4 linked regions of the Struthio camelus genome follow. The protein of the gene in region 4 purifies or fractionates together with the protein of the main gene of each other region. This does not show direct contact. Links are inferred from orthologs where the notes say so. Each region holds a gene or a part of one and is shown on either strand. Other genes may lie near its edges. The genes, in order: POLR3GL, POLR3B, protein POLR1D and POLR3F.

The links.
Region 1: the proteins of POLR3F (region 4) and POLR3GL purify together in Homo sapiens (co-immunoprecipitation; 5 studies listed by BioGRID and IntAct, counting the BioPlex papers as one, with this or other methods). This does not show direct contact. The link is inferred for Struthio camelus from reciprocal best matches to the Homo sapiens genes POLR3F and POLR3GL.
Region 2: the proteins of POLR3F (region 4) and POLR3B fractionate together in Homo sapiens (co-fractionation; 4 studies listed by BioGRID and IntAct, with this or other methods). This does not show direct contact. The link is inferred for Struthio camelus from reciprocal best matches to the Homo sapiens genes POLR3F and POLR3B.
Region 3: the proteins of POLR3F (region 4) and protein POLR1D purify together in Homo sapiens (affinity purification with mass spectrometry; 3 studies listed by BioGRID and IntAct, with this or other methods). This does not show direct contact. The link is inferred for Struthio camelus from reciprocal best matches to the Homo sapiens genes POLR3F and POLR1D.

What each region holds. Positions count from the first base shown.
Region 1 is NC_090971.1:3,068,656-3,075,938, reverse strand, and holds POLR3GL (DNA-directed RNA polymerase III subunit RPC7-like), read left to right. Parts: upstream 1-4,817; 5' UTR 4,818-4,868; coding exon 4,869-4,991; intron 4,992-5,088; exon of another isoform or gene 5,089-5,120; coding exon 5,121-5,250; intron 5,251-5,348; coding exon 5,349-5,417; intron 5,418-5,506; coding exon 5,507-5,563; intron 5,564-5,638; coding exon 5,639-5,712; intron 5,713-5,872; coding exon 5,873-5,983; intron 5,984-6,077; coding exon 6,078-6,164; 3' UTR 6,165-6,777; downstream 6,778-7,283. Other genes in the region: ANKRD34A (ankyrin repeat domain-containing protein 34A), read right to left, coding at 39-1,271. UniProt on the Homo sapiens protein: DNA-dependent RNA polymerase catalyzes the transcription of DNA into RNA using the four ribonucleoside triphosphates as substrates. Specific peripheric component of RNA polymerase III which synthesizes small RNAs, such as 5S rRNA and tRNAs.
Region 2 is NC_090942.1:61,794,743-61,802,250, forward strand, and holds the start of POLR3B (DNA-directed RNA polymerase III subunit RPC2), read right to left. Parts: upstream 3,014-7,508; 5' UTR 2,074-3,013; coding exon 2,002-2,073; intron 939-2,001; coding exon 906-938; intron 1-905. UniProt on the Homo sapiens protein: Catalytic core component of RNA polymerase III (Pol III), a DNA-dependent RNA polymerase which synthesizes small non-coding RNAs using the four ribonucleoside triphosphates as substrates.
Region 3 is NC_090942.1:200,709,621-200,717,335, reverse strand, and holds the start of protein POLR1D, read left to right. Parts: upstream 1-4,711; 5' UTR 4,712-4,808; coding exon 4,809-4,834; intron 4,835-7,715.
Region 4 is NC_090944.1:146,895,373-146,902,580, reverse strand, and holds the start of POLR3F (DNA-directed RNA polymerase III subunit RPC6), read left to right. Parts: upstream 1-4,200; 5' UTR 4,201-4,247; coding exon 4,248-4,303; intron 4,304-4,613; coding exon 4,614-4,731; intron 4,732-6,816; coding exon 6,817-6,884; intron 6,885-7,208. Other genes in the region: DZANK1 (double zinc ribbon and ankyrin repeat-containing protein 1), read right to left, coding at 304-457, 1,115-1,223. UniProt on the Homo sapiens protein: DNA-dependent RNA polymerase catalyzes the transcription of DNA into RNA using the four ribonucleoside triphosphates as substrates.

The sequences.
Region 1 (7,283 bases), on a different chromosome or scaffold from region 4:
GGCGTCCGGGCCGGGGTTGGGGGTGCCGGCGCGGCGCCCTAGCTGCCCGGCTGGCCCTGGGCCAGGGCGCTCTGGAAGGTGGCGAGCTGCCGCATCTGCTCCGTCTGCATGGAGTGACGCCGGAGCAGCTTGCGGCGGCCCTTGGGCGAGCCGCGGCGGGCGGGCGAGGACGCCGGGGCCCCGACCCGGCTCTCGACGCCGCCGGGCGGATGGGGACCGGTGAGCAGCGGCGGCAAGAAGCCGGCTCGGCTGTGCCCGGCCGGCTCGAGCAGGAAGGTGCCAGAGCCGCGACGCTCCAGCAAGCCCGGCGAGCGCCGGCGGCCGGGCGGAGGAGAAGCGACCGCGTCGCCGGCGGCCGGCGGGACGCGTCCGACCTCCGACGTCTCCAACCGGAGACGTCCCTCGGGCTCCGTTGTGACCGGCCGGGAGCCGCCGGTCGGTTCGGCCCAAGGCGCCGCCGGTTGAGCGGCGAGTCCCGCGGCTTCGCGGCCCTCGACGCTGTGCCGCCGGCGCGGGCCCACGCTGAGCGCCTCGAGGCCGGCGGCCAGGCGCTGCTCGGGCGCCGCCAGCCCCCACGGCTCCGAGTTGAGGCGTTTGAGCGGTCGCCCGCGGGCCCGGGCCGGCGGCGGGGCGGCGGCCGGCGGCGGGAAGCGGAAGACGTCCCGCTCCTCCTCCCCGTCGGCGGCCGGCGACGGCGCGGCGCGCACCTCGACGTCCGAGGGCGAGGCGCAGGGCGCCGGCGAGGGCGGCGCGTTCAGGTACTGCCGCGTGGTCTTGGTGCCGCGGGGCGACGTGGCGGTGGTGATGATGATCACCTCCTTGCCCCGCGCCCGGCAGGCGTCGAGCAGCGCCTGCAGCGTCTCGCGGTCGCCCCGGTTGAGGGCGTAGACGAGGGCGGAGGCGCCGGCGTAGTCGCGGGCGCTGGGGTCGGCGCCGTGGGCCAGCAGGGCGGCCGCCACGGCCGGCCCGGCCCGCTCGGCGCAAGCGTGCATCAGCGCCGTCTTGCCCGTCTTGTCGGCGATGTCGGGGTCGGCGCCGCGCTCCAGCAGGTAGCGCACCATGCGGGGCTGCGCCAGCGGGTCGGCGTAGCGGGCCCGGCAGGCGGCCATCAGCGGCGTCTGCCCGGCCGCGTTGCCCTCGTTGATGTAGGCGCCGCCTTCCAGCAGCAGCCGGGTCAAGCGAAATTTGCCCTGCGTCACGGCCCGCAGCAGGGCCGAGCCGTCCGCCGGCAGCACGGCCGGGCCGGCCGGGCGACGCGGGGGGCTCGGCATGGCCGGCTCACGGCCCCCCGACGGGCGGCGGCGCCTGGGCGGGCTGAGCCCGGCGCATGGCACGCTCACGGAGCCGGGCGGCGGGGAGCGGACGGGGCGCGGAGGGGCTCAGCCCGGAGCATCGGGCGCTCACTGCGGCGGGACGCGGCCAGGGGAGGTGGCGGCGACGCGGCGATCTCGGAGCATTGCACGCTCACTGCAACGGGACATGGAAAGGCAATGTCACATGGATATGGTGATCCTGCAATGGGGCACGGAGAGGGGACGTCGCATGGATGTGCTCATCGTGCAGCACTGCACCCTCTCTGCAACGGGACACAGAAAGGGGATGGTGCACAGATACGGCGATCTCGGAGCATTGCACGGGCACTGCAATGGGGGACAGAAAGGGGACGTTGCACGGATATGGAGATCCCAGAGCATCGCACACACGTTGCAACGGGACACGGAAAGGGGACGGGTCAGGGATGTGGCGATCCCAGAGCATTGCACGCTCACTGCAACGGGACATGGAAAGGCAATGTCACATGGATATGGTGATCCTGCAATGGGGCGCGGAGAGGGGACGTCGCATGGATGTGCTCATCGTGCAGCACTGCACCCTCTCTGCAACGGGACACAGAAAGGGGATGGTGCAGGGGTTTGGTGAACCCAGAGCACGGCGCACACATTGCAATAGGACGTGGAGAGGGGGACCGCGTTGCACGGATGCGCTGCTCCCAGAGCTCCCTCCTGGCAGGCAGCCCTGGCTCCCTGCCTCAGTTTCCCCAGCTGCAATTCTTGCCCGCCCCCCCCCCGCCCCCCGCTGCCCTCGCAGCCGCGGTCGAACTGATGGCACTGACGGGCACCGACGGGCTCTCACGAGGGGGCGACCCCTGCGGATGCCCCTGTCGGACTGGCCAGCGGTCACAGCCCAGCCTGCAGCACCCCAGGCGCCAGGGCTTCTCTGCCACTGCCTGTGGCTGAACGCCCTGCCTGCGCGGTGCCCCGGGTCCCCTGCTGGTGCCCCCGGCATCCCCTGTCCCCCGCCTGTATCCCCCATCCCTGGGTGCATCCTCCGCCTCCCTGTGCACCCCCATCCCTGGGTGCATCCCCCACAGCCCCAAGTACCCCCATCCCTGGGTGCATCCTCCACCTCCCCGTGCACCCCCATCCCTGGGTGCATCCCCCACAGCCCCAAGTACCCCCATCCCTGGGTGCATCCTCCACCTCCCCGTGCACCCCCATCCCTGGGTGCATCCCCCACAGCCCCAAGTACCCCCATCCCTGGGTGCATTCTCCACCTCCCTGTGTACCCCCATCCCTGGGTGCATCCTCCACCTCCCCGTGTACCCCCATCCCTGGGTGCATCCTCCACCTCCCCGTGCACCCCCATCCCTGGGTGCATCCCTCACCTCCCTGTGCACCCCCATCCCTGGGTGCATCCTCCGCCTCCCCGTGTACCCCCATCCCTGGGTGCATCCCCCGCCTCCCCACATACCCCCATCCCTGGGTGCATCCCCCATAGCCCCGCGTACCCCCATCCCTCTATACATCTCCCTGCATCCCTGCCTGCCTGGTTCCCATGGTTACTGCAGCTCATCCTGCTCCTCCGGCTCTCTGGGCAGCCAGAAAAATGGGGGGAAAAGAGCCAACCCCCCCACCTTTTCCACCCCAATTTGCAAGCCTGGGTTACAGCAGCCCCCGGCAAAGCCCCGGCTGCATCCGAGCCCCACTGGGTGCTGGGGGGGCTGCCGGCTCCAAGGGGGGACCGAGCTCTGGGGTGGGGGGGGGCCCTGCCCTCCGCGGGGGCTGCCCCATGCGGGTCTCCCCAGCCCTCCCTCCCCGCTGCCTTCCTCCATCACCCCCGTTACCAGCGCGATGCTCCGGCGTCCCGGTGCGCAGTGCCCTGGCCGTGCCGGTGCCGGGGACATGGCGCGGTGGCCGCCATCCCGGCTGGGGGGGGGGGTCGGTAGGGGAGGTTAGCTGGAGGGTTTTTCCCCCCTTCCCCCGTCGCTATTTTTGGCAGCCGCTCGCGCGGGGAGGCTGGACGGGGATGAATCACCCGGCGGCGGTGGCAGCGCCGAACCCGCTGCGCCGAGCAGCCTGTGCGGGAGGCGGCGGGAGCAGCTGCCGTGGGGGCACTGCGCCGTGGGGCTGGGGGATATGACACCATGGGGCTGGGGGACACGACGCCGTTGGGCTGGGGGACGCGACACCATGGGGCTGGGGGACGCGACACCGTGGGGCTGGGGGGATATGACACCATGGGGCTGGGGAGCACCACACCGCGGGGCTGAGGGACATGGGCAGTGGGGCTGGGGCTATGGGGCAGTGGGGTGGGAGCCAAAGAGCAGTGGAGCTGGGGGTTATAGGGCAGCAGGGTGGGGGCTATGAGGCAGTGGGTCTGGGCATTATGGGGCAGGGGGCTGGGGGCTATGGGGCAGCAGCATTGGGGGTTAAGGAGCAGCAGACCCAGGGGCTATGGGGCAGTGGGGCTGAGGGCCATGGGGCAGCAGCACTGGGGGTTATGGGGCAGGGGGCTGGGGGCTATGGGGCAGCAGCATTGGGGGTTATGGAGCAGCAGGCCCAGGAGCTATGGGGCAGCGGGGTGGGGGCTATGGGGTAGCAGCACTGGGGGTTATGGGGCAGGGGGCTGGGGGCTATGGGGCAGCAGCACTGGGGGTTATGGAGCAGCAGGCCCAGGAGCTATGGGGCAGTGGGGCTGAGGGCCATGGGGTAGCAGCACTGGGGGTTATGGGGCAGGGGGCTGGGGGCTATGGGGCAGCAGCATTGGGGGTTATGGAGCAGCAGGCCCAGGAGCTATGGGGCAGCGGGGTGGGGGCTATGGGGCAGCAGCACTGGGGGTTATGGGGCAGCGGGGCTGGGGGTGATGAGGCAGCGAGGTGAGGACCATAGGGCCGCAGCACTGGGTACTATGAGGCAGGGGGCTATGGCGTGGCAGCACTAGGGGTTATGGGGCAGCGGGGTGGAGGCACTGAGGCTGTGGGGCAGCGGGCTTGGGGGCCGTGGGGCGGCGCTGTGGGGCAGGGGGTGGGGAGCGCTCACCCATCGGGGCCCGCATCCCTCCATCCCCGTCCCCGCTTCGGTCCCTCGCTCGCCCGGGTGCCCCTTCCCTGCCCCCTTCGCCCCTCCCGTCCCCTCTCCCGCGGTTCCCACCCGCCTTTTCCTCTTTCCACCCCTCCCTGCCTTCTATCCACCTCCCCATTCAGCCGCTCGGCCCCGCCCCTTCTCCCCGGCCACGCCCCTTCTCCCAAACCCCGCCCCCTCCCGCCCTCCCATTGGCCCCGCCGCGCCCAAGTGCGGCGGCGCGCACAAGCCCCGCCCCTTCCGCGCCGTGTGCCCCGAGAGCGGGGGGGGGCGCACGTGGCGCGGCGCGGAGCGCCCGTGCGCATGCGCGGCGCAGGTGCGGCCGGGTCCGGGGTGGGGGGGAGTGTCCGGGAGCGGGACCGAACCGGGACCGGGGGGGGGGGGGGGGGGAGCAGCGCCGTGTGTCTCCGCGCCGTGCCCGCCCCGTTGCCCCCCCCCCGCCCCCTCACGGCAGCGTTGTCCCCTCGCAGCGCCGCCGCCGGGCCCCGGCGCCCCCCCGCACCGACCATGGCGGGCCGAGGCGGCCGGGGCCGGGGCCGCGGGCAGATGACCTTCAACGTGGAGGCCGTGGGCATCGCCAAGGGGGACGCGCTGCCGCCGCCCACCCTCCAGCCGTCGCCGCTCTTCCCGGTGAGTCTACGGGGAGGGGGGGGACACCTACTCTCCCCCCCCCCCACCCGCCTCCCCGCTAGGTAGCGGTGGCCGAGACCTGCCGCGCTCATCGCAGCAGTGGCGCTGAGGGCCCTCCTGCGCCCGCAGCCCATGGAGTACCGGCCGGTGCCGCTGCCCGGCGGCGAGGAGCTCGAGTACATGCTGGCCCTCAAGCAGGAGCTGCGCGGCGCCATGAAGAACCTGCCCTACTTCGTGAAGCCGGGGGCGCCGAGGCGAGGTACGGAGCCGGGGCGGCGGCGGGTATCCGAAAAGGTGACCCCGGGGCTGGGGCCGCCGCGGGGCTCCCCGCCGACGGTCCCGCTCGCCACCCCGCAGACATCGAGCGCTACTCGGACAAGTACCAGGTGTCCAGCCCCGTGGACAGCGCCATCGACTGGAGCCCAGGTAGCCGGGATGGGGAGGAGGGAGAAACGCCGTGGGAGCGGGCCGGAGGGGAGCCGGCGTCCCATCCGGCGCTCCGCTCTGCCGCGCAGATTGGAGGCGCCTGCCGCGGGAGCTGAAGATCCGGGTGCGGCGGCTCCGCAAGGGCAGTGAGTATCGCGGGCGGCGCGGGCCGCGTCCTGCCGCCGGGCGCTCTTGACGCCCGCCTCCTCTGCCCCGCGCAGGGCCCGCCGTCCTGCTCCCCAAGCGCAAGCAGCGGCTCGCGCTCGACAAGGAGGAGACCATTAAGAAGCTGGAGGTAAGGAGGCCGAAGGCTCGGGCCGGCCTTCGCCGGGGTTGTCCCGTGCGGGCGGCTCTCTTTTCTTTTTTTTCTTTTTTTTTTCCGCCCTGCGGCGGGGAGTCCCCGCGGTTAACGCGGGCGCGCGCTAACTCGGCGTCTCCCTTCCCTCGGCGCCCAGAGCCTGGAGAAGAAAGAGGAGGAAGTCACGTCAGAGGAGGAAGAGAAGGAAGAAGAGGAGGAAGGGAAAGAAGAGGAGGAGGAAGAGTATGATGAGGAAGAGCACGAAGAGGTGAGATCCTGGGGGCTGGGGGTGGTCTGGGTGCCTCCCCCCGCCCCGAGGATGCGCTTCAGGCCCCCGTCGCCCACCGGCTCCCCGTCCCCAGGAGACCGACTACATCATGTCCTACTTCGACAACGGCGAGGACTTCGGCGCCGACAGCGACGACAACATGGACGAAGCGGTCTACTGAGCGGCCCGGACGCCTGGGCCCTCCGCCGGTCACCAGCCTCCTCCTCTGCCCTTCGTCCCTCCCTGTGCACCAGCGGCGCTGAGGACCAGCCCGCCTTTGCCTCCAGGTGGCACTTGTGCTCCAGGCACGGGCGCTCGGCCGCACCCATCGTACGGTTGGGTCCCCCCCACCCGCCAAACCTTGCACCCGGCGTCACCACCGAGGTGCCCCCGCGCCGGACGAGGGCAGGACCCCCATCCTGGGGTTCAGGGGGGCAGCGAAGGTGTGGGCGCACAGCCCTCCCCGCAGCTCGGACCAAACTTTGCCCTTTTTTTGCTGTGTTTTTAGGTCACTTTTGAAGTGTTTTTTAGCTTGATATTGGGGGGGGGGGGGGGAAGGCGCCGGGGTGGGGGCGTAGCGGGACCCCGGGGGGGGGGGGGCTGCCGGGCTTGTGCCCGCAGCAGGACGAGGGCGCCGCCGCCATCGCGCCACAGCGTTTCCTCTGGCTGCCGAAGAGCCCTCCCCAGAAAGCAAGCGCCTCTTGCAGCTCTCGTAGCTGCTTTTTAATCTTTGGGGGTCTTTTTTTCTTTTTTTTCCTTAGTGGATTGGATTAAAGTGATGTTTTCTCTCTTTTTGAGCTGCGTTTGTGCTGTGGCCTCAAGTGGGGATTTTGGGGGGGGGGGGGGTGATCAGGACTCCTGGGCTGCTGCTTGTCCCCAGCCCCAACTGGGACAGGGGGGTCCCTGAGTGCTCCCTGGCGCTGGTCCCCTCCCTGGGCACGTAGAGGTGGGACCCCCCCCCCTCCCCGGGGAGAAGGGGGCTCTTTGTGCCACCCCCCCCCCCCGTCCCCGCAAGCCGCTCTCCAAGAATTGCTATTTTTAACGGCTTCTAGGAAAAAACCCAAAGCGTGCGTAAGCCTGGTGGGAAGGCAGCGCGGGGAGCGGCCTGGCACCGGCGCGAAAACCAGCGGCGCCGGAGCAAAGCGGCGCGGGGTGGCCGCTCGCGGCGCTGGTTTGAGCAGGGGAAGGGCTCAGCTGGCCCCTTCCACCTTCCCTGGTCTGATCCTGCCCTCGCCCGGCCCCCACCACACCGGTGTGTGGGGTCACTGGTTATACTGGGGCAGGCGGCTCCGGTTTGGGC
Region 2 (7,508 bases), on a different chromosome or scaffold from region 4:
AGGGCCCAAAAATATCTTCACAGCCCTGAACCACAGTGAAAAGGCATACACAGTCCATAAGTGAACTCTGAATTTTGTTTTCCTGCAAAGATGAAATACTGGACCGTGTAACAGAAAGAGGGGTGCACGGATATTACACTGGGAAGGAAGGGAATTCACAAAATTAGGCTGAAGAGAGCCTTGCTGAAGCAGGTAACATTTCAAAGGATGGATGACATGCACGCAGAGGTGGCTGCAATTTCCTGAAAGTACCTGTGCACATCACAGACTTTACCTGCCATCTTTATGATACAATATCATTACTGTCTTTCTCCCTTCTCACTTCCAACTGTTTTTTACTCCTGTTACTACATCTAATTGCATTTGTAAATAGAACTGTGTCTTCAGCTAGGGCCAGACTGCAGAGGTAGCACTGAAATCAACACAACCTTAACCTCTGAGTTCAGTCAAGCTCTGACATTCATGAATAAAGGTGTACATATATTCAAGCCTTGGCAGAATCCAGGTCTGCAGTTGCATACTTGCTACGACAAACATAACTACCTACTCAGTGTTTACATTGAGCTTATGCAAAGACCATGAATAGGGTCTCTGGGTGCCACTGAGACAGTAAAATTATCTGAAAACATTATACCATATACACTGTTCATTCAGAATCACCATATAAAAAATGCCAACTTGAGGAGGCCAAGGATGCCTCCTCAAATTAATCTTATTCATCAAGAAACTAAATCATGTATCAACCTTATCCCCAATTCCACGGAAGCAGGGAACAAAAAAGAATTGCAAAGCCGAGAGGGAGGGTGGGCAGCTATTCTGGGAAATAGTAAAAGGTAGAACAGGGGAATGTAAAGTTAGAAAGGAGATTGAATGTTCATGCCATGAAATGAGTGCATAACACTAACCTTTAGAAATGCTGGAAGAAGTCTCCATTTTTCCTAAAACCAAAAAACAGTTTGAAGTGGCTTTCCAAAGAGAAAACAAACATTTAAGAATCTTGAGGTTTTTGTTTTGTTTTAAACAATAACAGTTTTAAAATCAGATCTTTTTAGAAAAAAAGACTGCCCAAAGCCAATCTCCTTGAGTAAAAACAAAACACGACTCAGAACACTTTAGCGAGCCATACGTTCTACGCAATTTTTACTCTAAGCACAAAGGGACGCCATTTTTTCTAAAAACAGGTTATGTAAGAATGTGCATTTCCTGGAAAACTCCATAATACTATGCCCCAGTTTAAGAACACCAACCTTTTTGTCCTTTTAACGCTTTAGAGCATCTTTTGGGCAAAGGAAGCCTAGCTCCCATTTGGACTCTACAAAACACATGCAAAATCTCATTCTAAGGGGTGACGCAGGCAGACAGGGGTATCCGTACACCCTGTCAGCATCCCAACTCCTACAAAGATTTAGCCAAACTGCCTGAGCAAAATACTGGCAAGTAAACGCACAGAAAGGTTCCCACTGGCTTTAACCCACTTCTACCCTTCAGGGACCAGCAGCAGCATCGCTTGCCGGCCGAGAGAGGCCCCGCCAGCTCCGGGGCGGGGGGGCGGGGGGGAAGGGGGCAGGGAGCACACAGCACGGCCCTGGCCCCAAGAGCACACCGGCCCCCTCCCTCATTTTGGTTTCTCTCGAGTACAGCCAGCACGGCGCGCTGCTGCTGCGGCAGTGCCCTGGCGCTGCCCCCCGCAGGAGGCACTGGGCAGCTACAGAAATTCCGAGCGAAACGGGCAGCGCACGGACGAAGCCACGGAACCCCACTTCACGCGTGGCAGAGCGCCCCCTGCGCATGCGCCGTAGCCCCCTCCGCTCCTTCCCCCCCCAGCGCAGGGGGCCGGAGCCCCCGCGCATGCGCGCCTCGGGCCCCTCCCCACCGCCAGCCGGTGGGGCCGACGCGCCTTCCCCCTCCCCCCAACCGGCCGGGGAGGGGGGATCCGTGGGGCTCTGCTGCCCCCCGACCGCCCCCCCAGGACTGTGCTCCCCGGCTGGGGCCGCCGCTAACCTCCACCGTATTCACAGGAGCCGCCGCCTGCTCGGCAGTCAGGCTCCCCAGCTCCGCTGCCAGCGCCTCCATGCCAGCCCGGCGCAGAGGCCACGGCGGAGCCAGCGGACGCTCCCCGCGAGGGACCGGCGGTGCAGCAGCAAAACGCACCCCCTCCCCACCCCTGCGGGAACGGGCGCAGCTGCGGAAAGGTTCCGGGCTTCAGGGCGCCCGGGGTGGGGGCTGAGCGCGTGCGGCTCCGGCGGGTAGAGCCGTTAGCCGTGCTCCCCTCCCCACCCCCACCCCCACGTCGGCCGGCGCGTGACGGAGCAGCCGTTGGGGCGGCGCGGCCCAGGGCTGGGCGTCACCAGCCCCGCGGCCGCCGGCTCCGCTTCATGGCCTGCCTTTTGGGATAGGCCATCGTGATCTTCCCAAGTAGAAGAAATATAAGGCAAAGCCAGAAATAGAATTTGTGCCTCCCCAACCCCAGGTCTTGGTTTTTAATCAACATTTTTAAGGTGACCCGCGTGGGGAACTGAAAACCCATAGCACTGCTGAACCCAAAAACTCGAGTGCGTGCGGGAGTTGCACTTCAGCCATATGAAATTCTTAGCTGCAAAATGTAGAACACGCAGAATACTTGCCCATCCCTTTGACACAAGTACCTTTTAAAAGAAGAAACTGAAAACTACCATCTTTTTTTTAAACTCAGATCTGGTTTAGATTCTATATAATTAAAGCTCCGGGAGGTTGGTGTGGGCTTCACCCATCCTGGAAATGAAGGCTCAGCTTCCATTTAAGCATGAGAAGAGCAACAGGTGGGACTGGTTGCAGGTTCATGTTCCATTCAATGTCAAATTCAAGCCTGGAGAGGTGTTTTTTTTTTTTTTTTAATGTTTCAATTGTGAAAAATTATACAAGGTCTTCCATTTAACTAGCTATACTCACCAAGAAACTGGTTAGGGAACATACTGTTTCTGTCCAACGACCCACTGCCTCGCTCTCAGGTCTGTTAGGTGACCAGAGATCATGTTTTCTGCCATAATGGAAAACCAGAATAAATTGGGAGTCAGGGGATTAAGAGTTTCTTCTTAACTAACTGCAACGGGCCCTCGGTTTAGAAAAATAAGGTCTTCAGCCCCTCTTTTTGTTATATATAAAGACAGAATGTTGTTTTCAGCAACAGAACAGCTAAGAGCTCTTTTATACAGCGCAAGCTTCCGTCTAGGAGCTCACTCCAAAACGTTTGTTCCTACTGCATGACTGATCAAGAAAAAAAAAAGCCCTTTTTTCTGCCTTTACAAATCTGAAAATTCAGTGCTACGTCCTTGTCACGTATTCCTGTTTAGTATGACTTTTATCTGGGGGCTACTATAAATCGTTCAGCCGGGTTAAAAATCAGGGACTGCCAAAGGTCAAAATGTGAACCAGTTAACAAAAACAGATATGATGGAGTAGCTGTCGTTATTTTATGGACACTAAAATTTCAAGAAGCATCAGATCTGTGCACGTCCACAGCACATTTGATCCAGACACAGGCAGTACACCAGGCGCTTCAGGACTGAATGAATTGTACACAGTTATTCTGCATGATGCAAAGAAAAGAGCAGCAATATGCAGCCATCAGCTGCCAGGGGACAGAGGCATGTGGCTTCTGTAGTCCAAAAGGCTGAGCTGCCTTGAAATCCGAGGGGTTTTCAGAGCCAAGACACTCTGAAAACATTTACTCCCAGTTACAGAGAAGTTGGGTCTTTCTGAATTTGGCAATAGTCTATAATTAAGCGTTAAGGCTGAATCTAGAACAGTACACTGTTGAAAGTCAAACTGAACTACCACCTTAAGAACATTTAATTTTACTAAGACTGCTCTTGCAGGCAAATGATTGCCTCACATTCATCTGACCACTCCCTCTTCCTCCTTGCATTAGCACTACTTTTTGAATACTCATTCTTTCAGAAGTTTCTAAATCCTTTTGGAATCCTACTAGAGGTTCAAGGATCCCATAAAAGTTTCTAGAGATTACATGAGTAAGTGGCTTATTATATTGAATTTGCTTCATTAAGCATCATTTTGAATGTGATAATTTTTTTTAAAGTATCCAGCCTTTCTCCAAACAATTCCTAGGTTTAGCTTTTTAATTTGATGCAAAATTGTACCTATAGCTACTCCTCAAAATAGGTAGTCTCTTCTACTCTCACCTCTAGCACTTGGTGCTAGTTGTATGTGTACTCTGAAATTACAAACTAGCAGTTTTGTTTTTTTTTTTTTTAAATCAATTCATACACTGAATAATGACTTAAAGACCTAGATACAAAAAAGCTGAAAGGCAGCATTATGTTCTGCAGTGATGATCATGCACTGCAAAACTAGCAGAGCTACTCTTTCTAAGGGGGAAGAGGAACAGCGGTGAAACCATTTCAAAGAACAGGCAAGCTCTAGCTCTCTCATGACCACCACCCCCCACCACCAGCCTAGACAGAAGTATGCATAGTTCCAATGTTCTTCCTAACACTCCAGTGGTTAGCAAAGCAGGAACAACCTGCTTTGTTTGAAAAGTTTGGTCCCTTTTAGGGGGGAAAAAAATAAAATCCATCAATGATTTTTAGTTATTTGTCTAATCCTCTGATCATTAAAACAAAACTTTTAATAGCCCCAGATTCTAGGCAAGGTGTTCCACAGGTTATCTAAACATTGCTGTGAAATGACACAAACCACTATTTTTCTTTGATGGTCTTGCTCTTGCATCTTAAGAAACGGCAACTATTTGCTCTTCACTTTATTGCCACTCACCATTTGTAGACCTATCAAACTCCTTTCTGCTTCAACTGTCAAACCTTTTCCAGTTTGAAGACTCTAATCTATTTAATCATGCTTAACAGTACAGCTATGATTAAATACACAAACTGTCTTTGGACAAGGAGTCAGATTTAAGCAAGAGGCTGTTCAAAACCTTATTTGTGCAACTAGCTTAAAGCTATTCTACACTTCAGCTGCAACTGAAGAGTTGCAGGGAAAGAGCGAGCCACAACATTTGTGCAGTCATTTATATCTGGCATTTAACATCCGTTATGTTTAAGAAACAGCTTGCATAAATGACTTTTCACCACAATTGTATCACAAACAAAGTTTAATGCATACAAAACCTCACAAGTATTTATATTTTAACAAAGAAAGCTGCTACAAAATAGCATCTTGTTTATCAAAGACAATTTCAGAGTTGAGGCACATGCATTTCAGCCATGTTAGCGTAAATAGCATGCAACACGACATTAAACAGACACAGTGTCTGGGTTTGAAACATTAAATAAAAATTAAAATACATTAAACAATCAGTGGAAACATTGGCCATGCTATTAAATGCCCTTTGCAAGTCACCTTAATTACCCCCCCCCCAAAAAAACCAAAATCCTCTTTCCAAGTATTTTCTCGTAAAAACTAGTATGCCAATTTACATTAAAAGCCAATCGTCACACAGCTTATTTTGCACTAGAATGCATATAAAGTATTATGATATAAATTTATAAGTGTTCTTCAAATGTTCATAAAATCATCTTTTAGCCTAAGGTTCAAAATAGTTTAGCTATGTCCCAAGATGTTGCAGGATCACTAAGATTTGATTCTTAATTGCTTTTGAAATGAATTCTTCTCTTGATGATTTTGAATTCCTTGTCAAAATTCCATACTCATCTGAACAAACCCATGTTACATAGTGGCACAATTGGTCTGTTCTAGGAGTTCCTTCCTCTCTCAGGTTTTTCAGGCTTCAAGAAACACAGTTCCCTTTAAAATACTTATTTATCTTTATTTTGTGCAATTTTTTTTTATACAAGGGATAGAACAGAAGTGCACTAGAGCTTTTTTTTTGGTAACAACATATTTTGAAGAAAGTTTTTCATACCATATACATGTGGCCAAAGGCCTTGGACATTCTGAGCAACAAGTGACTAGAAGTCATTTCCCTTAATAAAAAGGGGTACATAATCCTGTAAAAAGGGACTACAAAACCACAGTGCTAATAATGCCCACTTTAGACCTTTATGATAGACATAATAAATGTATATATACACAATTTGTGTGGCACATTAAGCTTTTATGGGTAAATTTGTTTCTTAATAAAAATAGACTGTAATATAAAATATTAAAAACAAGCTGTTTAACTTGTACCACATGGACTTTATATATTTGACATTTAAAAAGGACTATTGTATGATAATATATTAAAACATCATTTTCAAGTAACTTTTTCAATTTTCATAGACAAGAATGCATCCATACTAGAGTATTCCAACACTATCTATTCCCAGTAGTCTGATATATGCAAAATCTAGTATGGAAGTAAACATCCGAAAGTTTACATATACTTCTCCATATCAAACTTACTCATTCTCTGTATGCAAAACTCCTGTAGTCTTAAATGGGAACCAAGTATCAAGGCCTATTCCAAAGTAATTTGGGGAAAAGCTGAAGTATTTCCCACAGAGGCCCAATGAAAGTCAAGCTAATCACTTACAGTACTTAGATTTTCGAGAACAATTAACAACTTGAGTTCTTGCATTCAGAACCGAGAGTACCAAAAATACTCTGTAAAAAACTTATGCCTTCATCGAACAGACTACAGAAGGGGAAATTGCTCTGCTGCACTCAGTGACATTATTCTCAAAGTCAAGTGCCTGTAAGAACAAAGGTCTGAAAGCCCTAACTCAGAAATACTTAATGCCCAAATAAGATCAAGGATCAGCATATAACATATTAGACTTTGAGCTTTGTGTATGACCTCCATTGGATAAACAAAATGCTTATAGACATTATAGACAGACTTTTTTCCCTCCCCATGATCTTTTTTTTTTTTTTAACCTTAGGAGTTTTTCATTAATCCCTCAATTACAATTGACAAGTTCTGAATGGTTCCTACTTTAAACAGTGAGCTCTTCTGTAACTGCTATATTCAAAACAGCTTCTAATAATACTGGCATTCCTTAATGTAACATAGGCTAAATTCTCATTCCAGTAACTGCAGGAGTACTAGAACTTGGCCAAATATGGACCTGTCCTTGGTTACGAAAGCAGTTATTACTATACTTTTTGCTTCAAAGTCTTTTTTGAAGAGAGAATTGTTTTATTAGATGCTGTCCTAAATATATATAGGAAATTTTATCTAGAATTATTTTGTCATGTCATAATTGCATCAGTATATGTAAAATATATTAAGTTAAAAAAACTGATTATGTTTTAATGGTGGCAAAACAGCAAGTACTTTGCCAGCTCTTCCCCTCACGAGTCATTGTAAATGCTTGTCTTGGAAGCTAATATTTTACTGGCTATTGCAAGTGACACAATCCATTAGACAGACTTAGTCTATTAAAAAAATACATATGTACTTGAAATTAATTTTTTTCCAGTGGATTTCAGAAGCTATCTGTATACATTTTTACAAGACCTGTCCCCCTCATTCATAGTCACTGGAGTGGGTTATTCATAGTAGGGAAATCAGGTCACAGTGTCTCTATTATAAAGACTGACGGGAAGAG
Region 3 (7,715 bases), on a different chromosome or scaffold from region 4:
ATGTTTCTCCGAGCAAAAAAAAACCCTGCTGCCCCATCATTCTTTCTCCTATATGTCAACTCAGAGCTAGGATGAACACCTAGTCTGAAAAGCAAAGAAACCCATAAAAAGATAAGAGTTTAGAATCCTCTGACACTAATATTTTTTGGCCTTTCAGAGCCAAAATTTTGAAAATAATATCGCATTAAGAGAGGGCTGTCTGTGGAGGTGAGTAACCCGGATTCAAACAAAAATTGTATGCAAAGAAAAAGAAATCTATGTGACCGGAGTACAACTAAAAGAGTTCGTAAAGGTTCCCATGGATAAGAATATTGACCTGAACGTTACTGCAGTCAGTAATAAGCAACTGTGCTTATCCTGATTATTTTCTAACCATAACAGTGATGTGCTGACAGATTCCACTGGGCTTGTGCAAGCTCTCAGGCGACAACTGTGAGAACACGAAATTGTGAGGTTATCTCGCGAAGGAAAAGCCTATAATACACTTGAAAATTACTCCTACTGTAAAGAATTTATCAGTGCAAAAGTAGGTAGCTCGCGACTCATTTTTTCCCCAGCGTGCTGAAGAGTTTTTGACACCGCCACACTGTCCCAGGAAACCTACTCCAAAAGCCCTGCTTTGCCTTTACACAACTACTGTTTTTCTCCTCTTTCCCAACTACAGCTTTGTCCTCCTTTAACGCACACCACTTACACTCATGATTCACTCCTAGAAGCATTTTGGTAGGAACAAGGCAAATAATTCATATTACCTCTTCCTTCAATGCTATGGAACTGTTTATAACTACCTTTTACAATATTTTAAAACAGTATCTGTTCATATATTGGATATATTCCTCAGTGAAACTGAATTTTGCTCTACAGCCAAAGGTTCTACGTATAAATTATGTATACTCCATTAACTAATACTTAAGCATTAGCAGTTCTCTGCAATGAGATGTAATAACACATTCTTCTCTATGGCCCAAAGCAAATCAACTCTACCTTCCTGCAGACTGTCAGGTGAAAATTAACTTATAAATAATATTAATCTAGCACATTCATAACCTCACAATTCCGTTATTACCTGATTTGGTCTGTTTTGCTGGGATAACAGCAAGAAAATTCTAGACAGTCTTAAACTACCACAAATACAGAGCAACAATACAATTTGCTTACTTAAAAACGAGGCTGAAAACATTGTATCTTGCAGTATCTTAGCGCAATTTTTTTTTTAATTAAAATACTTTCTACTGATTAGATGGAAAAATTTCAGAATCATAAAACGGAACTTAAAATCTTGCCTAAAATCTTAAAACTTCAAAAGTTACCCGATTTTACAGCAAACAACTGCATCCTTACACAGCCTTTTGTTTTTACCATATAATGCACTAGCTCACTATCAGAGAGGCTCAGATTAGAAACCTCCCCTCTCTTCCCAGCCCAAATTCCAAAACAGAAACTGTCCTAAGCTATTTGTGAAACTAACATTCATTCAAATAAACATCTAAGAGAATGCAAAGGGTTGTCACCTAATCAAATTCAGATGATCAAAAACACTTCCAAAAATGAGAGAGATGTCTGTACCACTACAATGCACAAGTATGAAGTCAGCTCCTCTACAGTACTCCTACCATCTGTAAGGGAAGGAGACCCATGGCACGGTTGGGAGTTTCTCGTTACATGTCCATTGGTTAGCCAGCCCTCACTGCCAAGCCAGAAGTCATCTACCTATACGAAGTCATGCAAAAGATGAAAACAGTCAGGACGAAAATGGGACAGGTTTATCCCCCAAACTTTGCAAACATAAATCCTCAAGACATTCACGCACAGGCTGAACATCAAGCCCAAGAATAGACCCACCATATTCCACAAGAAAAACTTGAACTTTCAGAATTAAACATACGCATGAATGCCTACAGAATTGAGGCCATAAAAAGCAGAGACTACAATGTTATTGTCTTTTATTGCTCTCTAGACACCGTGACCTAACAATTACATAATTAAATAATGACACGTAAAAGGGTTTTCATCCTTAAAAGGCACTATGATTTCTAAACAAAAAAACTCCATTGACCTAATAAAGCAATTTAGAAGCATGCAATTCAACGGTGTCACATTAAATTGCTTTTCCAAACTAAATCAACAAAGAATTTTCAAATATCAAAGACAAACCACTGACTAGACCAAACAGATTTCCAGTGTCCTCTGGTGCCTCCATACACCAGGAAGCATTTTCATTCTGAATAAAGGTTGTTTTCTTATTACAGCTCTTAATATCTAATAGCTTTTTAAACAAGCAGCATCTTGCTGATTTATGAAATTAATGTATACTATTCCAGTGTCTAAACTACATCATATCCTTACACATTTCTTTTTTAGAGTGATATTGTAAGCCTCACTTCTGCTTCACGGTGGCTTTAAGTGGCTGTATTTAAAGCATTTATTAAGAGAAGGATAGGATTGAAAAAAAAGTCTAGCAGGGGAATATTCTGAAGTATTTTCAAGTAGACAGTTTTAACTGGAAGCTAACAAACTTCTGCTGTTTTTTAGTGATGCTGGTCCAGAAACGTATAGTGAGACTCACAGGCTGTTCAGTTCAGGCAAAGCCTTATGACAAAACAAAGTTTCACTAAGGTCATCAAGGCTTTTATGTGAGTCGGCTCCACACACACGCAAAAGCTTGCAATGTCAAAGCCAATATTTTTCTAATTATATATGATAGGCTTCAGTAGGCTTATTTTTTAAATTAACCTAACTGTTCAAGAGAACAAAACTTTTCCACCTAGTCACCAGCTTGCACTCCTCTTGCAAAGTTTCATTCCTAAATTGCAGCTTCATGTTTGAACAAATTTTAAAAAAAGGTTAAAGACCTGGGTTAGGAAATCATGTTGTTTGTGCAAGCCTCAGACCCGAGTCCAAGGCCCTGGGCTATCTGTCGCTGAAGTCAGTAGGGTAGGAATTTGTTATAGAAAACTCGGATCTAAAAATCAATGTGTAGGAGGTTTTTTTGTGTTTACTGAGATTTTAGAATTTTAATAACACAGAAGCTTAAAAATCAGAAATGTCATAAACTTTTATGTAAAAAGATTCCCACTGGACAAAAGGGCGTTCTTTGCAGTTTCCCGAACTCGGGGTTTATCGTTCTGCAGCGCTGCGTTTAAGGAAGAGAAGACTCCTCACTCAGTGAGCTTCAAAAAGTAAATGCTAGAAGGGCCCTATTAAGCCTTACGGTCCCAGACAGTATGCTTAAATACCTTGTTTCCACCCTGAGGAAATCTGTTTTAATAAAAGTCACGGCGGCATATGGCAGTACTAAGGTGGTTATTTTCCGAGCGGGCAGGGACACTAACTGAAACCATCTGATGTTTCTTCCTAAGCCTCCTTGATCTGCTGCTGGATCGCAGCTTAGAATAAAACATCACGAGGCCACAAGGAATTGGGTAGCGGAGTAGAAATCGGTCGGTCCAGCTGTTTATTTAATAAGAGCCTAGCTCAGAGCAGCTTCTCTTTTGAACAAAGAAGCTCAAACGCTTCTATGATTTATTTCCAGAGGGGGATCAACGACACCCCAAAGCCAGCGCGTAACAGAAACTCCTACTTTGTACGCGAGCGCGAAAGAAAACCCACAACATCGTGTAATTAAAAAAGGAATTAGATGGGGCCCAGCAGTACTTAACCGCGGATTTCTGGCGCAGTGCACAACCAGACGGGCTGTGCATCAGAAACGCGGCAGGCGGAGCCGCAGGGGGCTGCCGTCCCCGTCCCCGTCCCCGTCCCGCCGCCGCCGCTCCCCCACCTCGCCGCCGCCTCAGCGCTGCCACCTGCTTCGCCAGCCGCGACGGTTTTTTCAACGCGACAGACGCGACCTGAACGAACACCGGCCCCGGCCCGCCCGCCCCAGACTTGTTGCGCCACGAGGCAGGCCCGGCCCGAGCAGGCCCGGCCCCGCTGCCGCCTCCGGCCACCGCCCCTCAGCGGCCGCCCAGCCGGGCAGGGAAGTTACTCACCGCCGCCGGCTCCCGCCGCCGCCGCCGCCCCTCAGAGCGGCGCCGCGCTCGCCTCCATGCCGGGCGCGCAGAGCCCTCGGGGCCGGGGCCGGCCCAGCCCGCCCCGCCCCGCCTGGCCCAGCCGCGTCCCCGCCGCGCCGGTGCCGGTGCCCCCGCCCCGCCGCGCCGCGCCGCGCCTCGCCGGCGGCAGCCCCGGGCGCGGGGGCGCCGCAGCCTATGGGAGCGGGCGGGGCGGGCCGCGCCGCAGCCCCGGGGTGGCCCCGCCGCTCGCCTGATCGGCGGCGGCGGCGCGGGCGGAGGGTGAGGGGCCCCCGCGGGCAGCAGCGCCGCGGCGCGGGGGGCGGTGTCGTGCCCCGGCGCACCCCCGCCGCCGCTGCCCCAGCCGCCGCTGCCGGCGCTGGGCGAGGAGCCCCCAAGCCCGCTCTTAGCCCGTCCCCGGCCCCCGCTCGCCTTAGCGGAAAGCGAGCGCGGACAGCCCCGGTCGCCCCGTCCCGCCAGGACTGGCGCCAGAGTTGCTTCCCGAGCCCGCCCGCCCGCAGCAACTGGGCGGGGGGCGCTGAAGGAAACGGCCCCTCTCGGGCGGGGGCAGGCGCCCGCGGCAGCCGGCGGGGAGGGGCAGCGGCGCCGGGGCCGGGGCCGGGCCGGGGCGCGGCGGGCGGGCGGGCGGCAGGTGCGGAGGGGGGAGGGGGGAGGCGGCCGCCGGCCGGCACCGCCCCGGCTCCTCCCCCGCGGGGTCCTCGGCCGCCCCGCCCCGCCCCCGCCGGCCGCCAGCGGGACATGGCGGCGGCCTGCGCCTGAGCGGCGGCCGCGGGCCGCGCCATGGAGGAGGACCCGGAGCTGGAGAGGTGAGCGGGGGGCGGCGGGCTGCGCCACCGGGCCTCGCTGGGCCGCGGCGGCGGCGGCGGGAGGAGGAGGAGGAGGAGGAGGAGGAGGAGGAGGAGGAGGTGGTGCCGGCCGCGACCCGGCGGCCTGTGAGCCGCGGGGGGCCGGGGAGGCCGCGCGGGGTGGGCGGTGCGCGGCGGCCGGCTTCCTCCCTCGGCCTCTTCGGGACGGAGCTTTGAACCCTCCCCTCGGGCGCTGCTGTGCGAAATAAATGAATTTTAAATGAATTTTTTTCCGGCGTAATGTGAAAATATATACGTGTATCATTGCTTGAAAAGAAAAAAGTCAAATCTCCTCGCAATGCTGCTGGTACTGTTCAGGAAGAAGATTTAAAAGCATTAGCTGGCTCGTCTCTCATTAATTGGAAGTCAGCAATTAGCCTCACTTGCTAAAATCAAAAAAAAATAAAAAAAACACACAGTTAAACTTGTACTCTAGTCGGTTTTGGTTCTCAGCGTTAGAGATTTGCCAGCTGACCAGCTGTTAAAATGACCCGTTTCTTGTATTATGGCAAAATGTTTGCGGTCGTTTTGTCAAAAAAGGAACGTGCTCCGTGCCTTGCGGTTTGGCGTGGATGAGCCGATGTGTTTTGCTGCGCGTGCTGAGCTGTGGTTGAGCTGTGGTGTTCCCAAGCAAACATTGCGGACTGAAACGCACGTTTCTCTCTCCGAATATTCAGTCCTCGCAGGCGTGCCTTACTCCTGCTTTACTCTAAGTATTTACAGCACAGGTAGATCTTTTCTTTTGATAATCATGCTATTTCTTGCAGGTTTGTCTAGAAGAAATGATTAACGTGGTGGGTTTTTGACATGGTTCCTTGAGCTTCGCTCCACTTTTCTAACAGGCAGAAAACTTAGGGGACAGCGATGACTAGAGGCTTTCTGAACCGTTCTTCTCGTGATTCTTCTCCTTGACTTTAAGAGTCGGTAGAAAATAACTTGTTTCTCTCGCTGTTTATATTTAGCAAGTATTTTAAATAGGACAAATGTAATAGTGTTGGCGTGGTGGAAGGCATAGAGAGCACAAAGCTTTTTAAGAGGCCTTTAATTCTTGTACGCTACCTCCCCTTTCACATCATCAGTACAGAAATTCAAGTTTCTTTCTAAATATGCAGGAATGTTATTTTTATGACTGCTGTTCCAAATTTATGCCCCCCTTTTTAATCATATCAAATCTAAACTTTGTCACAGCTCCTTCCACGTTCTGTCTCTCTTCTGGCCGCTGCTGACGTGCCGGGGACTTGTGGTTCTCCAGGCAGTTTGGGGCGTAGCTGCGAGAGATTGCTCCAGAGTCTCTTTCTGACGCTCTCCTTTCCACCAGCCAAATTTGCCTCTTATTTCAAGCTGATGCTGAATATACTATTCCTGTTTCATGGCAGTAAGGTAGATAGTGAGGAGGAAACTGTGTATTATTTGCCAGAGGAGGCACAGAAGGGTTTAACTGTCCTGCACCTTGAATCCATGCTACATGTTTAATCAGCTCCTTGCATATTATATATACAGTATAGTGAACTTATTGGTTACTGTTTTCTATCTTGGATCTGTCTTACACTTCTTCATTAGCTAATTACTTTTTCATGCTCTCAGTATTCAAAAAAGCTCTTTTTGTTAGTAGCACCCTTAATTCAGTTCACACTGTGTGCATTTAAATGTCGTATTTGAGCATTTCCCATCACACTTCTCCATACAGTCCCCAAGAGTCTAGTGTTGACCTCTCTTTATCCTTTGGCTTACAGACATGACTCGTTAGTCTCATATCCAGCTACCTGGTGATCATACTCACGTTATGTCAGATGTACAGCTATGGCAGTTAGCTTTCGTAATTTTTGGCCCTTTAAAATATTGCTTTGGCCTACGAATAATGGCATTTTTCTTCTGCAGCCACAGCATAAATATTTTAGGTAGATTTTTGATGTTTCAAAAACGTTTTTATTTGGAATATTTTTCATCGTATTTATCTCAGTTTAGTCTTATCTCAGTGCACGAGTCTTCAATAACAGTGTAAGACTTTTTGTATGTGTGGTTTTAGTTAATGTAGCATAAAAAAAAGTTTGTAACTACTTTAATGCAGGTTCTTTCAGGCCTAAAGTGCATTTTGTCAGGTTTCCAAACAGCGATTTATTGAGAGGAGTCAGTTGTCCCAGTTTTTTGTGACCATCTAAAGAGAAGTCTCTCTGTTCTGCTTGTTCGGTGTTGCTTCTATTTTTCCATTTTACAGTGTCTGGCTCTCGCTTGATCTTGTGTTTGATGTTTTTCTCGCTTTGATAGAAAGTGGTAGTCACTACCAAAGCTGATGCTAAGTTGTGTTACCATGTGACTGTTGCGTACCCTGGGATTTAAAACCCTAAAAGCTGTAAATACTTCAAGTGTGTAAAATGTTAAGCCACGTTCTATTAATATATAATTCAGAGTAAAATGTATATGATCCTAGAGGAAGTAGGAAAAAAGGTTACAAATCAGCTACTGAGAATTGTTTATCTTATATTTTCCCTATAAGCAGGTGTACTTACTTTTCCTACTTAATTCCTACTAAATGTCCTTTGGGGTATGATAGAGGTCACTATTTTCTTCCTTATCCAAACAATTCCCACCAGCTGTCTTCATGGGTCTGTGTGTTCAAAGCACAGAAAATACGTGGTTAATCTGGCAATATAAAGGAAGTGGCTTTGCTGTGCTGTGTGTCCAGATTCTTCCATAATCAATTTCGTCTCTCAACAGCTCTGGATATTTCACAACCTTTAGTATCATAGCCTCTTAGAATTGCCTGTCAAGCTTGCTTGGAGTATCATGTACTTGGAAATAAGCATCTCTTAAGGAGATAACGTTCTGTACACAAGAGCTGCAT
Region 4 (7,208 bases):
GTACAGTGTATTTTACCAGCCCCTCACCCACAGCCTTCATGGATCATTGGCCTTCAGCCAAGGCCCAGGAGAAAACATTGTAGAGATAATCCAGCTCCACAAACACTTAATGATTAAAAAGTGCTATGAGAAAGTGAACACAGTGAAAGGAATCCAGGAAGATCACTTAGACTGAAAACCGGCTGGGGCAAGAGCTGCCCCTCATTCCCCAGGTACAGAATGCTTAGAAAAACACAGCTCCACGCCATGACTGGGATGTCCAGTCCTTGCCCCAGTACTACTAAAATAAAACAAGATACCTACTTTGTAACTGCCAATGCCTTGACCATTATTTTCCCAACTGGTAACATGATAGGTTGCTTATACTCAAAAGTATTATGCTCTCCATAGCTGGGTTTCCTAATGAGTTCTGGCTTACTTCCGTCTAAAGTGTAATAAATAGTGACTGCAGGTGTATCTGAAAGACACGGAGAAAGTTATTATCCAAATTATATTAGAGCTGGGCAAAATAAGCTCTACACCTGGAAATACTCACTCCTATGTTTGATTTTTCTCACATAAACAAAATCAAGGAGTAAATGATTGAAAGTTCAGGACCAAAACTATTTCTCCCATGAAATGCTGGTGACTAAACAAACAAAATGTCATTACAAGCAATATTTCTTTTCATAAAGTAGTCATACACTGGTTTTGTATGAAAACAATGCAACAACTTGTCTGTTCTAAAGACAGAAAAAATAATTTCTCCCATGATGAAAGATGGAATTTCAAAAACCGTAAGGAACACTTTCTGAGTGAGCCAGGCACATCATATTTTCAAGTCCTGGTTTTGCAGTCACAGCAAAATACAACAACTTAAGAGCTTGATCTCGGAAGCAATTAAAACTGCGAACAGGTATGAACTCATATATTATGACAATAATATTGCTTGAATGCTAAAAGTTAAGTGTATATATTTGCAGTTTCAAAACATCTAGGTTAATTTTGTGAGTTACTTAAGGAAGTGGAAACTCACAAAAATCATAATTAAATGTAAACAAAAATATAGAGGCTAAGAGTTTCAAATGATCACATAAGGAAAAGTTTTACACAGAGTCAAAAGTGTTATTTATACCTGACTTTATTTCTACAAGAGTATTTGTGTCTATTTCATGTTTAGCCTTCCCTGGAAGAGGGATTCGAAGAGGTATGACCTGAGGAACTAAGACAGAACCCGCTGTCATTTTTCTCAGCAAGGATCTTTAAAAAAGAACGAAAAACAAAAAAGCAGACAATTATTTTTCATAACACAAGAATGCAGTGAGAAATGTTGCATTTTAAAGAGATTCCTCATCCTGGTTTGTTTCCTTGAAAGAAAGAACACTGAATTCCTTGAAATACTAGTTCTCATCAATATTTCTAAGGTTTTCACACTGAAAAAGAATAAGATGCTATAGACCCATCAAACTTTCGACCTATTGTCCTATTACAGGGCTATGAATAGGGCTTGAGATGAGCACTGTTGCTTTTATTTCAGTTTGGCCTTCTCTGCTTGAATTTGAGGGCCACTTACTCAGGTGAAACAGCTTTAGCATCATATATCTTATACCATGCCAGGAGAGAATAACTGTGAAGCATCTTCACCCTCATCACTGAGATATGGTGTCATTTTCTCTACAGGAGGAACCAGTCCCTTGTTTCATTGTGGCCATCCAAATGTATGTCAGTGAGATGCAAGATGTCCCGAAAAGGACTAAAACAAGACAGCTATTCCTCAAGCTTGCCTCACCTGTGGTATACTTTAAGCATATACCTATCAAGCAGGTGCCATACATGATTTATCATAGCCTTTATGTCACTGAATTCAAGAATGAAAAGTTACGTTTGGATACGACAGCGTTTTAGAATACAAAAAGGATGTACTGCAGGTCATGGGAATTGATATTCACTGCCAGAAAACATGTCTACACTGGAAGCATTTCGTTTTGTAACTGGCCGTTCAGTCCTCCCGCAACGTCTCTAACACTAACTCATCAACGTAGATAGTAATGACTGAGTACAGAAGGAGTTCACGGATCTATGGGCTCACAGGGGCTACACTGAGATAAGCCAAAGTGCTATCTGCAGCTGCCCATCACCTCGGCTGCACTGCCTGTAACGGCTGGTGTAATGAGTGTGGGCAGTTCTCAGCCAAGCCGTTGGGCCGCATGCTGTGGCACAGGTGAAAGGATGATGCATGGATCCGCTCTTTACCTGACACGAGGGGGCAGACACTAATTTTCTCCGAGTACCTGACTGCTCTTGCCACACCTAGACCAGAAGCAAAGCGCCCTGTTTCAAGCCTGTGGCAGCCCACGATGGGTGGGATAAAGAGTGAGTTCCCATGGGCATCGCACCGTGACGGGGCTCCGGACCCCGCTCCAGCACAGCACAGCCCCTTGCTGCACCCCGCCGTGTGCCGGGCCCCGCGTTCCCTCCTTTCACTACGCAGCCCTGCCCACCCCACTGGATCCCCACTACGCAGCCCTGCCCACCCCACTCGGTCCGTGCTCGGCAGCCCCTGCCCACCCAGCTCCATTGCATCCCACAGCCCTGCCCTCCCCCTCCATCCCTGCTATACAGCCTCCCCACCTCCCCTTCATTCCCCCTGTATAGCCTATAGTCACTGCACTCCCAGCAGATCCCCACTATACCGCCCTGCCCTCCCGCTCGATCCCCTCTGTACCGCCCCGCGTACCCGCTCGATCCCTGCTATACCGCCCTGCCCTCCCCACTCGATCCCCTCTATACCGCCCTGCCCTCCCCACTCGATCCCCTCTGTACCGCCCTGCCCTCCCACTCGAACCCCGCTATACCGCCCTTCCCTCCCTACTCGATCCCCTCTATACCGCCCTTCCCTCCCTACTCGATCCCCTCTATACCGCCCTCCCAGCAGATCCCCTCTATACCGCCCTGCCCTCCCCACTCGATCCCCTCTATACTGCCCTGCCCTCCCAGCCGATCTCCTCTATACTGCCCTGCCCTCCCCGCTCGATCCCCTCTGTACCGCCCCATGTACCCGCTCGATCCCTGCTATACCGCCCTGCCCTCCCCACTCGATCCCCTCTATACCGCCCCGCGCACCCCCTCGATCCCCTCTGTACCGCCCTGCCCTCCCACTCGATCCCTGCTATACCGCCCTGCCCTCCCTACTTGATCCCCTCTATACCGCCCTCCCAGCAGATCCCCTCTATACCGCCCTGCCCTCCCCACTCGATCCCCGCTATACCGCCCTCCCAGCAGATCCCCTCTATACCGCCCTGCCCTCCCCACTCGGTCCCCTCTATACTACCCTGCCCTCCCCCTCGATCCCCTCTGTACCGCCCTGCCCTCCCCCTCGATCCCCGCTATACCGCCCTCCCCCTCGATCCCCGCTATACCGCCCTGCCCTCCCCCTCGATCCCCGCTATACCGCCCTCCCCCTCGATCCCCGCTATACCGCCCTCCCCGCTCGATCCCCGCTATACCGCCCTCCCCCTCGATCCCCTCTATACCGCCCTGCCCTCCCCCTCGATCCCCTCTATACTGCCCTGCCCTCCCCACTCGATCCCCGCTATACTACCCTGCCCTCCCCCTCGATCCCCTCTGTACCGCCCTGCCCTCCCCCTCGATCCCCACTATACCGCCCTCCCCCTCGATCCCCACTATACCGCTCTCCCCGCTCGATCCCCGCTATACCGCCCCGCGCACCCGCTCGATCCCCGCTATACCGCCCTCCCCCCTCGATCCCCGCTATACCGCCCTCCCCCTCGATCCCCGCTATACCGCCCCGCGCACCCGCTCGATCCCCGCTATACCGCCCTCCCCCCTCGATCCCCGCTATACCGCCCTCCCCCTCGATCCCCGCTATACCGCCCCGCGCACCCGCTCGATCCCCGCTATACCGCCCTCCCCCTCGATCCCCGCTATACCGCCCTCCCCCTCGATCCCCGCTATACCGCCCCGCGCACCCCCTCGATCCCCGCTACACCGCCCTCCCCCTCGATCCCCTCTATACCGCCCTGCCCTCCCCCTCGATCCCCGCTATACCGCCCCGCGCACCCGCTCGACCCCCTCGTCCCTCCTCGCGCCCGTTACCACAGACGCCGCGAGCCCGGCCGCGCCCCTCGCCCTCTCCCCTACCCCCGCCGCCGCCGATTGGCCCGCGTCCCGTTGCCTGGCGACCGGCGCCTCACTGCGGCGCGCCGCTCCGGCGTCATCGCCGCGCGCCGCGACCCGGCGGTGCCGCCATGGCGGAGGTGAAGGTGAAGCCGGAGGTCCCCGACCCGGTGGACATAGAGAATAGGTGCGCCCTGGGCCCGGCCCGCCGGCGGGGAGCGTCGCGTCGCGGGTGGGTGGGGCGGCGGCGGCGCCCGAGGCCCAGGGGGCTGGTCCTTGCCTGGGGACACCGCGCGTGTCGTGCTGGCGCAGGGGCACAACGAGGGATGGCGTCAGGTTGCCTCAGCTCCCCCCCCCTCCCCCCCCCGTTGCCTTTCCCAGTCCTCGGGAAAACTCTGTTCTTTTCCCTTCTCTTCCGTCGTGGTTGCAGTAACTTTGCGCCTTTGGTTGCCGCTGCAGCGGGGCCTGGTTGAAAATTTGCCTTTCTCCTCCCCCAGGATCATTGAACTGTGCCATCAGTTCCCCCACGGCATCACAGACCAGGTGATCCAAAATGACATGCCTCACATGGAAGCCCAGCAGCGAGCCATGGCAATCAACAGGCTGCTCTCAATGGTAGGGCCATCTTGGCTTCCAGTGCGCTCTGCATACACATAGGCTGCATGGTAGAAACCCGTCGGGCAGGGCTAGCAAGTTTTCTTTGGATTTAGTGATGTGCTCAAAGGTTGCCATAACCAATTAAAACATGCCTCAAAACTTAATAGTTTCCACTCTGTAATACAAGATTAACATGGATGTGCATATTCACATGGATTTCTAGGTTTAAGAGGCTACCACTGAGAAGTTCCGCATTTGTTTTTAATATTTTTCTCAAGAGTAGATGTGTCTAGAGTTCTGTGGTCTTTCCCCTGTGTATCAGTTTGTATGCAAAGCAGAATGTGATACAGTAGTGTAATATGAGAGTCCTGAGTGCAGGTGTAGCAGCAGTGGCTCAGCAGGTGATAAGACAAGCAGACATGGGTGATAATGACAAAGCCCTGTTAATGGTGGGGAAAGAATTAGCTAGAAAGGAAAGAATGGATATTGGCCTGTGCTGTTATATGTGAAGCCCTTCACCAAGCCCCTCACAAAATTGCAGGATTGTGGATTACTCTGATGACAAATAAGCAGGTGAAACACCTCAAGGAGTTTTTGTAACTCCTAGAAGTTTCCTACATCTCACTATGCATTTCCCTTTATTTTATCAGGACCCAGCTTAAGATAAGAGTGAGGATCACAGCCAACTACTTCTGCCACATGTTCAGGAATAGATAGAAGCTGTTGAGTCTTGGTTCTACGTGGCATAAACTTGAATATCAGCTAAGTGTTCAAGGTCTTAAAGATCAGGATTCCGTTCAGTTCCTTTGATAGCTGTTTCATACGCACATGGAGACTGGGTGGTGCAATGGAAAGCACTGTAGCGAAAGAAAAGCAGTATCTGATGCTATTGCGGTGGCGTGTGTCAGCGAAAGGAGGGGCGCTTGTACCCTGGGAAAGAGGGGTGGTAGAAAGTATCCGAACTGAGCAAGTTTCTTTTTGGGTTTGTTTGTTTGGTGTGGGGTTGGGTTTTTTTGTTCTGTTTTGTTTCTTTTCATAAGCAAAACTTCTTTAACTGGAAGAAAAAGTGCATGGTGCTGGAACTAATCTCTCTCTCTTTCATCTTTCTGCTTATAGATACGAGGTTTATAAGCACAGTAGATAAGAGCTTGTATTCAACCACTTTTTAATGGGTTGGCCATGTTTCACAGGGAGGTTTCAATGATAGTTAAGTCTCTAGAACTTATTTAAAATAGACACCTTGGGAGTGTGGGGAGAGATCCAGTAAGTACCTTAAGCATGGGAAGAACAGCAGTGAGTGCTAAGCCTTCATAAGCATCAGGGACTTCACATGAGATAAGACATAAGCGCTTTACCTATGGAAAAGCATCGAGTGGGATCATGTTGAGGTGTGAGCTCCAATCAACCACATAATGCAAATCTATAAGAAATAAGGCTGTTACCTATGAGGAATGGATTAGCTAGCAATGAAGGAGTGAATATTAAGCTAATGCTATTATATGCATTTATGTTCTTGGGCTTGTCTAATTGCTTGCCTCTTTCTTCAAAACAGGAAGTAAGAAATTACTTGGCTCAGTCAGAAGTCCAGGATAGGATACACCTTGTGTGTGAGAGATGCCAGTAATTTGTCTCTGAGAGTTATTGGCAGTCCTGACTGGCAGTTTCCCATTGGTGGTTTTTTTTTTTTTTTTAACTAAAGAAAGAACTTTGTTACTGGAAATCAGAATTTTTCAAATCTATTGTTCATTAGAGCTCTAACTTGATTTCTGGATTGCCATAGAAATGAGCGTTTCGGTGGAAAGCAAGAAAAAGGCATACGAGAGCTTGATGTCCTTTGTGCAGTGGCGAAAGCTAGCAAGCGCATAGAGGTGGGAAGAGGCTGGAACTGTATTTATTATTTCTAATAGCTGAGGATAAATGGATAGTTGCAGGAAAAAACACCCCGGAGTGTATTGTTTCTAGTGGTTGGAAATGTTAGTTTTCCCTTTCTTCACGCAGTTGACATTAAATAAGGCTTTATACTTTAGAAATGGTTTAGAAGATTCTTGCCATATTCTGAAACAAGATATTTGAAGGAAAATAATGTGTGCCTGTCTCTCCTAGGGACAACTGGACCTGCTCAGGAGCAATGCCGGTCTCCTATATAGGATCAAAGAGTCTCAAAATGCAAGGTAAGCCTCATATTTGTTGGATAAATGTTTGGCGCACAATTCTGTACTTCACGTGCCGCACTGCTGAGAAGACGCTCTGAGAAGTCTTCACTGGGATGATGGCTGTTACAGAATGTAATTGCTCATTCCAGAAGGGTATACTTAATTGCCCTGAGCTGATCCTGAAAACTGTTTTAGGTATAATGCTTTCTACTGAACAGAGGTTACTATGGAGCTAGAGCTCTCACTTGCTAGCAGAGTTCCTGATCTGGCAATGTGATCTTTGCAAACAAAGGCGTATGCTCAAGTGAAATCCAGTTGAAGTACAGTCTGCAAACGGTGGTT